Yarrowia lipolytica: one gene and its partner. Each later gene encodes a partner of the first gene's protein in a complex. Links are inferred from orthologs where the notes say so. Each region holds a gene or a part of one and is shown on either strand. Other genes may lie near its edges.

What was found.
Region 2: YALI1_F32512g (region 1) and YALI1_E10712g share a complex: the UniProt entries of both Saccharomyces cerevisiae proteins name them as parts of the RPD3C(L) complex. The link is inferred for Yarrowia lipolytica from reciprocal best matches to the Saccharomyces cerevisiae genes CTI6 and PHO23.

Annotation. Positions count from the first base shown.
Region 1 is NC_090775.1:3,249,061-3,253,616, reverse strand, and holds YALI1_F32512g (uncharacterized protein), read right to left. Parts: upstream 2,406-4,556; coding exon 840-2,405; downstream 1-839. Other genes in the region: YALI1_F32534g (uncharacterized protein), read right to left, coding at 1-122; YALI1_F32498g (uncharacterized protein), read right to left, coding at 2,630-3,766; YALI1_F32476g (uncharacterized protein), read right to left, coding at 4,171-4,556. UniProt on the Saccharomyces cerevisiae protein: Component of the RPD3C(L) histone deacetylase complex (HDAC). Responsible for the deacetylation of lysine residues on the N-terminal part of the core histones (H2A, H2B, H3 and H4).
Region 2 is NC_090774.1:1,070,200-1,074,544, forward strand, and holds YALI1_E10712g (uncharacterized protein), read right to left. Parts: upstream 2,132-4,345; coding exon 1,044-2,131; intron 1,001-1,043; coding exon 733-1,000; downstream 1-732. Other genes in the region: YALI1_E10755g (uncharacterized protein), read right to left, coding at 3,051-4,345. UniProt on the Saccharomyces cerevisiae protein: Component of the RPD3C(L) histone deacetylase complex (HDAC) responsible for the deacetylation of lysine residues on the N-terminal part of the core histones (H2A, H2B, H3 and H4).

The DNA.
Region 1 (4,556 bases):
TTGGAAAGATTAGCCACCCAATTGGTCTGACCATCAACTAGAGCTTCCACATTGGAGGCCATGGTGTCGTACAATTCGGACTTTGATTCCGACGAGAATCGAGAGTAATCGGCATGGACCATTGTGTGTAATTCAGAAGGTGAATGTTGTATGTGTATGTGTAAGAACAATGACGTTTGTCAAAGTCGGTATGAACGATGGTGTGCGCGTTTGGGTGGAGAAATAAGAGAGCCTAGAGGCAGCTAATACTGTACCTGTAGTTCAAGTCAACTTACCTTACTTGTACTTTCGGCTTTCCCAACGGCTAATTGCTTGATGTGGAGTGTTCTTGGAGGGATGGAGAAATGGGGAGAAGTAGAAAACAAGCTACAGGTACTTGTACTAAATGTTTCAACATATTGGAGCCTTTTCGTAATATAAACCCAGCCACTCTCACATCCATGACTGTAGAAACGCGTCGAATGTTGAAGTGAATAGTAGCGGAGCAATGCACATGGCAGACGCATACAAAACTTCCCTATTATTTGTAGTGGCCCCCGCAAAGGCTCACAGCACCACCTAAGCGAAATGACATGTCTACTTCATACATTATTCTTCTTGTTCTTGGCATCTAATATACGAATATAGAGATCGATAACCGACACTAAGCTACATTGTAGATCAGGTAGTAACCGCTACAATTAGCTTATCGCAATACCCAAAATTGAGACACATCCCCAATTGTTACCTGTAATAGGTTTCCTCTCACACAACGTGCAACGGTTTTTGCGGAGCGGCTATTCCGACGGCAAAATACCTTTAAATAATAATGATACAATAAATTAAGTATATTCTGTTAATCACCTTCGCTCGCCATATCTACCGTACTCCTGTTCCCACAGAAGCAGCTTGCGAGTTAGTCCATCCATCATATCTGCAGAGGTGGAGCTAAGCACCACCTGATCTCCAATCTTGTTCTGGTCACTGGCCATGTCCATCTGTGTGCGGCCAATAAATTCCAGTATCGCAGCTACCCGTCGTCGCATCTCGCTCATTGTAGTTCGTGAATGAGGTACCCGTGGCTTGGATGGCCGCTCGTCATTGTATTCGGGTGTCTCCTTCGGCTTCGGCGAGTTGGCTGCTCCTCCAGCACCCACCGACGTCTTTGTCTTGCGCTTTTTCCGGGCCTTGGCCACAGGCGAGTCCATCGAGTCGCTGCCGTCCATATCCGACTTTGCCTGGAGTTCCTGTTCGCGTTTCCGCTTCGGCGTTTCCGACGTTCCCGAGGCTGCTGCTGACCCGTTGGTTGTTCCATTTGTTGCAGCTGCTGCTCCAGAAGCAGTGCCAGTAGTCTCAGGCGATGACTTTTTGCTACTGCTGCTGTTGTTGGCTGTGGCGTTATTGTTGTTGGTCGTAGAGTTCTTGCTCGTTGTGGTTTCCTCTTTGACCTCCTTGTCCTTGCCTGCTTCGCGGGCGCTCTCCTGAAGCACCCGCTTGAGAGTCTCCTCATATGTGTCTCTGTTGCGACGTCGCGACGAGGTGGTTATCTCACGACGAGAGCTCGAATTGCGTCTGCTGCGAGTTGAGTCACGGCCTGCCTCGCCAGTTGCGTCAGAGATGTCTTCAGAGCCATCATCAGCAGAGCCAGCGGCAGAAGCAGCAGAATCGGGACGTCGACTTCTACCCGTACCTCGCTTTCCTCCCTGCTCGGGGGTGGACCCGGACTGTTGTCTGGGGCCACTAGCAGCTGCAGGCTCCTCTCCATTGCTTCGGGGAGGGTCGCGGGCAGACTCGCGTGTTGCACCAGTGCCGCTGTCTGAGGCTGTCGAAGAAGACGCTCGGCTGCTGCGCTGACGCTTTGGCGGGAGGAGCTCTTCTTCTTTGACCGAAGCCCGGCTACCATTGCCTTCATCGTTGCCATCCTCGTTTTCTTCGTCTTCATCGTCGTCGGCAGACTTGTTGTAGATGGACGTCTGGCCGCTTGGCCGTAGGAAAATCTGATGGAGGTCGGGTCGGCATTTCTCACAGTAATAGACATCGGGAACTTCAGACTCCTGGTACATGCCCACACAGTAGCCATGCTGCCACACAGAGCAAGAATCACACTGGATAAACAGACCCTGATCAATTTCCAGAGCCTTGGCAGCCCGGTCCAGATGCAACTCTTCGTGGCCACAAATGCACCGTGTAACCTCCTCGGACTCCACCAGTCCATCCGAGTCCTCGACCTCCTCATCCTCTTCAGGTACGGCTGCTGCTTTGTCGGCGGCCCGTGACTTGCGCTTTTTGCCTTCGCTGTCACTGGACGCTTCCACCGTGTCGTCATCAAAATTGCGTCTCGAGCGTCGAGCGGACATTGTGTTTGGTTGTTGCTGGTGTAAAAGATGTGTACTGGACGAATTTGGCCGGGGAGTCCAGCCATGCATATTCTTGTTATTAGGGTTTGATTATTAAGCAACATGTACCGTTTAGGATGGTCATTAAGGATAAGAGTGTGATGTTTTAAAATGTGGAATGACGAAGGGAAACGCGTTTCCTGATGTACAAATGCAACAAACGAGCACACCAGTTCAAAGGGGAAAAAAATGTCTCTCTTTCTTGAATACCAAATAAATAATGCAACTATGTAGCGATGTAGACCTATGTACATTTACGTCTCCTCCTCCTCTGTGTCAGCCCCGTAAACAGATCTCTCAATAATCCAGGTGGACAGAATGTACAAGTGGTTGATACCACATCTAACCACGGTATCAACAGCAATAGCGCCGCAGAGATCTGGGAAATCAATCTGCAGGTCATCCCCAAAAGATTTGCCGACAGCAAACCGGAAAAAGAAGAAACCAAACAGATTGGAAGTCATGCATCTCATGATGAAGGATGATCGAAGGAAGTTCTCATATAAAACCGCAAATGGAGGCATATGATGGGCCACTTCGGGTCCCATTTGTCCGTGAGACTTGTTGATTTCAGCCAGATGCGTTCGACCCACCAGACCAAGAAAGTAGTTGGATACATGCCAGACGGCCATGACTCCGACATTGGGTAGAGCTGGAGTCCAGGGGTTGTAGAAATTCTGCAGCCAGGCAATAGACGGGCCCCAGGGCGAGTTGTTGGGGGTGTCGACGTTGTTGTACACCCCCAAAATCTGCATGGAGGAGTAGTAGAAGAAGGGGAATGACATGATGCAGGCCGTGAAGTGTTTCAGGGCAAAGGGGATGATTTCAGCCATTGTGTGGTTGCCCTTGAGCACGCTTATGATGTTGATTTTGTGTTCGCTTTTGACCATGGTCCCGTTCTCCCACGTATACGAGCCTGCGTCCGGTTGGTCTGAGATAGCTTCCTCCACCATACTCTGCGCCAGGGAAGCCATGAATCCGGGGAACGGATTGCCGCTGTGGATAGTTCCCTTCAGTAGTTGCCAGTATGTTTGTCCTCCGGATCTGCCAATTGTGTGGTATCTAGCCCAAGATACCTCCAGGGGCCACATGCCCATCATCTCTATACCTCTAACAATCCCCTCAGGGATAATACCGAGTTCCCAGGCTCGCATCCACTTGTCGACATAGTCGTTTGATTCGGCAGGATCAAGCAGAGCGTCCAGATCAGCGGCTGAAGTAGGAGGAGGTACAATCTTCTCGGCCTCCAGGGAAGACCGTCCATAGCTGTTGAGAATCTTGTGTTTGGCGTTGAGCAATTCGTGGTTGAGAGCAAGAGATTCTGTTTCTGTATTCTCATTGGTGGCAAAACTAGGCCCCAGCAGGAACCGCAGTAGCCTTTTCGTGATCATTTGTGGTGTGTGTTAGTATGTTCACGTATTGTACGAACAGGTATCCACAGTTGACAATATGCACCACACGCCTTATGGAACTCTATTGTGTTGATTGAAATGAATTATACAGAAGTGGCAGACACAAAAAAGAAATATAGAAGTGAAATGAGCAAAAAGAAACATGCAGTCTTATGTCTCAATGCCTCTAAAACATTGGCTTTGGGGTTCACTTATACGAGGGATTCTGTTCAGTATGAAACCTTCCACAAACATGCTTACAGCAATACTGCAGATGGAGAAGCTGCAACTCTTTATAATTGTATACAACTGTTCCGTCAAATACAACCAAGTGATACCACTCTTACTCATTACAGCCCTCAGTTGTACTGTCAATCTAAAATTTATTGTATAGGTTTATGCGCTTATTCTCGAGAGATATCACGGCCGAAGACTCGGACCTTCATCCAATCAATGCAAACAAGAATCTTGTTTCGCATGGAGAAGCACATGGACACGTAGGCGGATCGCCAGAAGTAGTAGGTCATGGTTCCTCCGGAAGACCAGTTCATGATACCCCAGAAGTTGAAGGACAGGTCGGCAACGGCTCGGTCGGAACCAATGTAGGCCAGAGAACCCTGGTGAGAGTACTCGAAGGGCAGCATGGCTCTGGATCGTCGCAGCTTTCGGGACTTGGACTCGAGTTGAGCAAAGATGTTCTTTCGCTCCTGCTCGTCAAAGGTGTGCTCCGACTGCTTCTCGAGGTTGGTGATCTCGTTGTTGAGGTCCTCGGTCTTAGCAATGCCGTTGA
Region 2 (4,345 bases), on another chromosome or scaffold:
TTGGAGCTATTGAGGGTGTCAAATATCGCAATGTGTAGCAATTATATATATAAAAAAGGGGAAAAAATCACAAAATAGATGCTTTTCTTGCCGAAACAATCACATCCAGATATGATGGAGTCTCTTCTATCACTCTTCCTCTTGTTGAACGTCCATTGACTAAGTTTCCGCTGAAATCACTTCTGGATGTACCACTGTTCTCGTCAAATTCGATAATGTGGAGTGTATTGTATTTTATTCACTATATTTGACAATTACTTATCTCAATGTTTTTTATACAACACGCTCATAATCCTCGTTCCTTTGGAAGTGGTACTGCAAGCAAATGGAGAGTGTTTAGATGTGAGAGGTCCGCTTTTAGTTAGCTTGAGGAAATACTCAACTATAATACTTGATATTCGCCGTATGTCTCAACTGTCTCGTATGTATTGTAAAAAAAATAAAAAAATGTTCCAGTATTTTGGAATTCAAACGCACCGCAAATAAATACCCAACTTGGACTCGTTCCTGTCTTGCTCAAATTGACCAATGTTTCTTGTGGTATGAGTACAAGTACCGGTATTAGAACTCACGTTCTTGAATTCCGCTGCTTGAATCTCTTTTTCGTGTAAACACAGTTCTTCAATGTGCGCCATCTCAAGTCTCAAGTCTCGACATCGCATCTCCTGTTGGCTACAGCCTCCTCCTACTAAAAATACAATAAACAGATACATTAAATACGTGTGACTGAAGTCACTCACGAGCCTTGCACACCGGTGTCGGGCCAAGCATTAATGGGCCGTAATAAATAACTGAGAGGATAGATGTTTGGAGATGCCCGGATGACTTGGAATCATATCTAGGGCTTCGAATCCTGGCTGGCTCGGTCTCGGCACTCAATTGGAGCTTAAGAAGTGGAGCAGCCCATCCAGGCATGGGCACGCACGCTGAATATCTGCTCTCATGACCACAAGATCCGAAAGCCGATGTTGAATCCACACCCACTAATAACAACGAACGACTTTCCGAGTCTGTCTCTCTACCTCTTTCTACCCTGTTTGCACTCATCACAGTACCAGTTACCCTTGGGGGGCGAGCTGAGGCCCAAACAAGGCAAATGGAACCACTCCCGGGTGCACTGGGGACCATCACAGGCCACCATTTCTCCGTAGGACACCTGTTCACAGTAACAGTAGACCGGTTCTCCGTCGTCCTCCTCTTCCTCCGCGGCCTTGGCAGACTCAGCAGCCTCCTGCCCCTTTCTCGATTTGTTAACCAAACGAGCAGATCTGGTAGCCGAAGCTGCGGGTGTGTCGTCTGACGATGGAGGCGATTTTCTGTTTCCAGGAGCAGGAGAAGCCTTGGCAGCAGTCTTCCGTTTCTTGGCTCCAGCAGCAGCGGCAGAAGAAGCCACGGTATCGGACACTGAAGCAGAGGTAGCGGTTCGTTTCTCGCCATTCTTTTTGGCTCCGGCTCCCACGGCAGCTGCGCCGTTAGTGGCTGCCGCCTTCTTGCCGCCAGTCTCCTTTCCACTGTCCTTGCCTCCCTCCTTGCTGGGAGTGCCTCTTCGTCCTCCATTACCGCTTTTCTCGGCGGCAGCAGCAGCGGCAGCCTTCTTCGCAGCAATGGCTTCCCGCCGCGACTCGCTTCGCTGGCTCTGTGCGCTTCGCTCGGCCACAGAGGGCTTGACATCCACAATGATGGCAGGATGGTCAGGCTCTCCGTACTGAATCACCTGGGGGATCTCACGTGAAGTGATTAGCTCATAATCGGCATCAATACGCGAAATGTGTCGTGCCACCGCTTCGGCCGCCACCCCAGCCACGTGCATTTTCTCCTCCAAACAGGGCATGAGCTCTCGAATCAAACCCCGAATCTCCAGCAGCATGTTTTCCCGTTCTTCCGTTTTCTTCGCGCACTCGGGGTCGTCCTTGGCCGCCGGTGGAATAGCCAGAAACTTGGCTATCAGATCCGCCACAAGAGGAGTAGTCGTGGTACATTTCGCGTCGATTTCTCGCAGAAGAGTGAAATGCCGCACAGTCTCGAGCGGTAAGGCTTCCAGAGCATCAGTGAGGTCGTTGAGACCAGGATACAGACCTACGGGCTTGTCTTGGGCTCGGCGCGACGACGATCGAGTGTTGTATCCTTTCATGACGTGTGGTGTGTACAAGTTATGATGTCGGAGAAAGTGACCTGCATGAACATGCATGAGGTAGGGTAAACGAATTTCGGTGGGAGGAAATATTTTTAAAGTTAGCCAATATTGCTGAGGTTAACTAAATGACTATTTTTGTTGACCTTTATACTTGAGACGTAATTACTCAGTATAGGTACTGTACGAGATTTATGGGATATCATCGATGCAAGGCAGTCGGTAAAGCAGCTCGAATTTGATAATAGTTGATCATTATACGGATTTGCAGTAGTAGCATGGCAACAAAGTCAATAGGGAGAAATACTACTTGTAAATACATACGAAAATGAACGTCATTCCCTACGGCAGTTGCCTTGCCGTGTAGTCATTACAGTATGTCTCGACCTTCATTCCAGAACCCGAGAGCTCCATGAGAAGAACCCTGTGAGACTCGTACTACCACAACAGTACTATACTTGTACTTGTACGAGTGTGTGAGCAACAACAAGTAATCAATATCAATGAGCATACCAATGGCTACTAGTACTTGCACCCAAACGTCGCGTCTACCTACACCTACCAGTATGTATACAAGTCATTCAGCTATAAATGTCTAAGAAATACAGCTATTTTGGGGCTGACATTTGGCAAGCAGCCCGGCGGAGGGCTCTTCCATGGCGAGTCAGAAAACATTGTCTCCCTCTCCTCGTCGTCTACACGACGGACTCAGCAGCTGGCAAGGCAGCTCGATCAGTTTCAGTATGGACCTGCTTTCGTGGTCAGATCCACGCACCACGTTGGTATGTGGCAAGCGGCCCAACGAGAAGCGTAACACCACCCACTGGACCACACACCACCAACTAAGCCTGTGAAGTTTTCATCACTGGCAGAACAACCTGAGAAACCAACTATCGGATCCTGAGGTTGCGCTGGAGGTCTAAACTCTCTGGTAGATCAGCAGGTATGCGGTCTTGTCGTCCTTGCCATCCTCTTCCTTGGCGTACCAATTTTCGTTTCGAATGGCCTCGATCTTCACATCATCGATTCGGTACCACTTGGTACCGCCCACGAGCACGTTAACAGTGTAGTGACCGGTGGTAGTGCTGGTTCCGTGGTGGAAAACAACACCCACGAGGTTGTACTGGTTGGACTTGCCTCCCGAGGCTCGGAACTGCTGCTTAGCCTTGAGAGACAGCGACTCCATGGGGACAGACAGGTCCGCGCCGTACGAAATCTTCTTGTTGATCTTTCGCACCTGCAGATCCATCAGGTCATCACCGCAATACGTGAACCGCTTGAGCTGCACCACAAGGATTCGGGGTAGTTCTTCCAGTAACGTCTGCTTGCTAGCACCCGTGATGGGTCTTCCACCCTCTCCGAACGTCTCCACCTGCTCTTTGGCAGACAGAGCCTTGAAACCGGACTCCACGGAAGTAATGTTGGGATTCTCCACATCTAGATGGATAACATGGAAGGGCTCCAGCACCTTGGAGACGGACTGACGGGGCACATCGAGGTTGGATTCAAACTTGCCGCCGAAAATGTCTGACACGGGCGACCAGGGGAACTGAGGCGATCGGGTCGTCGAGTTCTTCTTGGCTCCCACCTGTGTCCATTCAGCGCTGCCGGTAGCACCCTCCTCTTTAGCAGCAGCCTCCTCCCTGGCTCCAATCACAGCTACGAACTCCTCATGCAGGCCGTCAAGCAGGTATCCAAGGAACTCCTCAGCATCCTCCTGCTTGCCTCGCTGGAAATGGCTGAACCGGGGCACGCTGACAATGCTCTTGTAAAAGGAGTCAATGGTGATATCGGGCAGCTTGGAAGTGGCAGGAGTGGATCCACCGTTTACTCCGTTAACGGCGCCTCGCTTGTAGTCGTCAAGGAAATCAACCACAGCCTCAGTCAGAGGAGAATCGCCGTCAAGAGACCGGGGCACCTTTTCTCGAATCAAATCAATCAGTCGAGAAAAGGGTAGACAGTGGACGAGAATCTGCAGAATAGAGTTCATGAAACACACGTTGCCGTTGTTAACAATACCTCGAGGTCGAGCAGTCAACAAGCTGTGGTGGTTGGTAGAAGTGGAAGAATCAAAGAGTTCAGAGTCGTAGGAATGGGCCTTGACAGCAGCGATGATGGAGCCAAGAGTGGCAGGAGGAGCGGGCGAGGCAGTGGGAGAGTCGGATTCGGCAGAGTCCTCTGTAGTAGCATCGCCGTTGGCAACTGCACTGGACT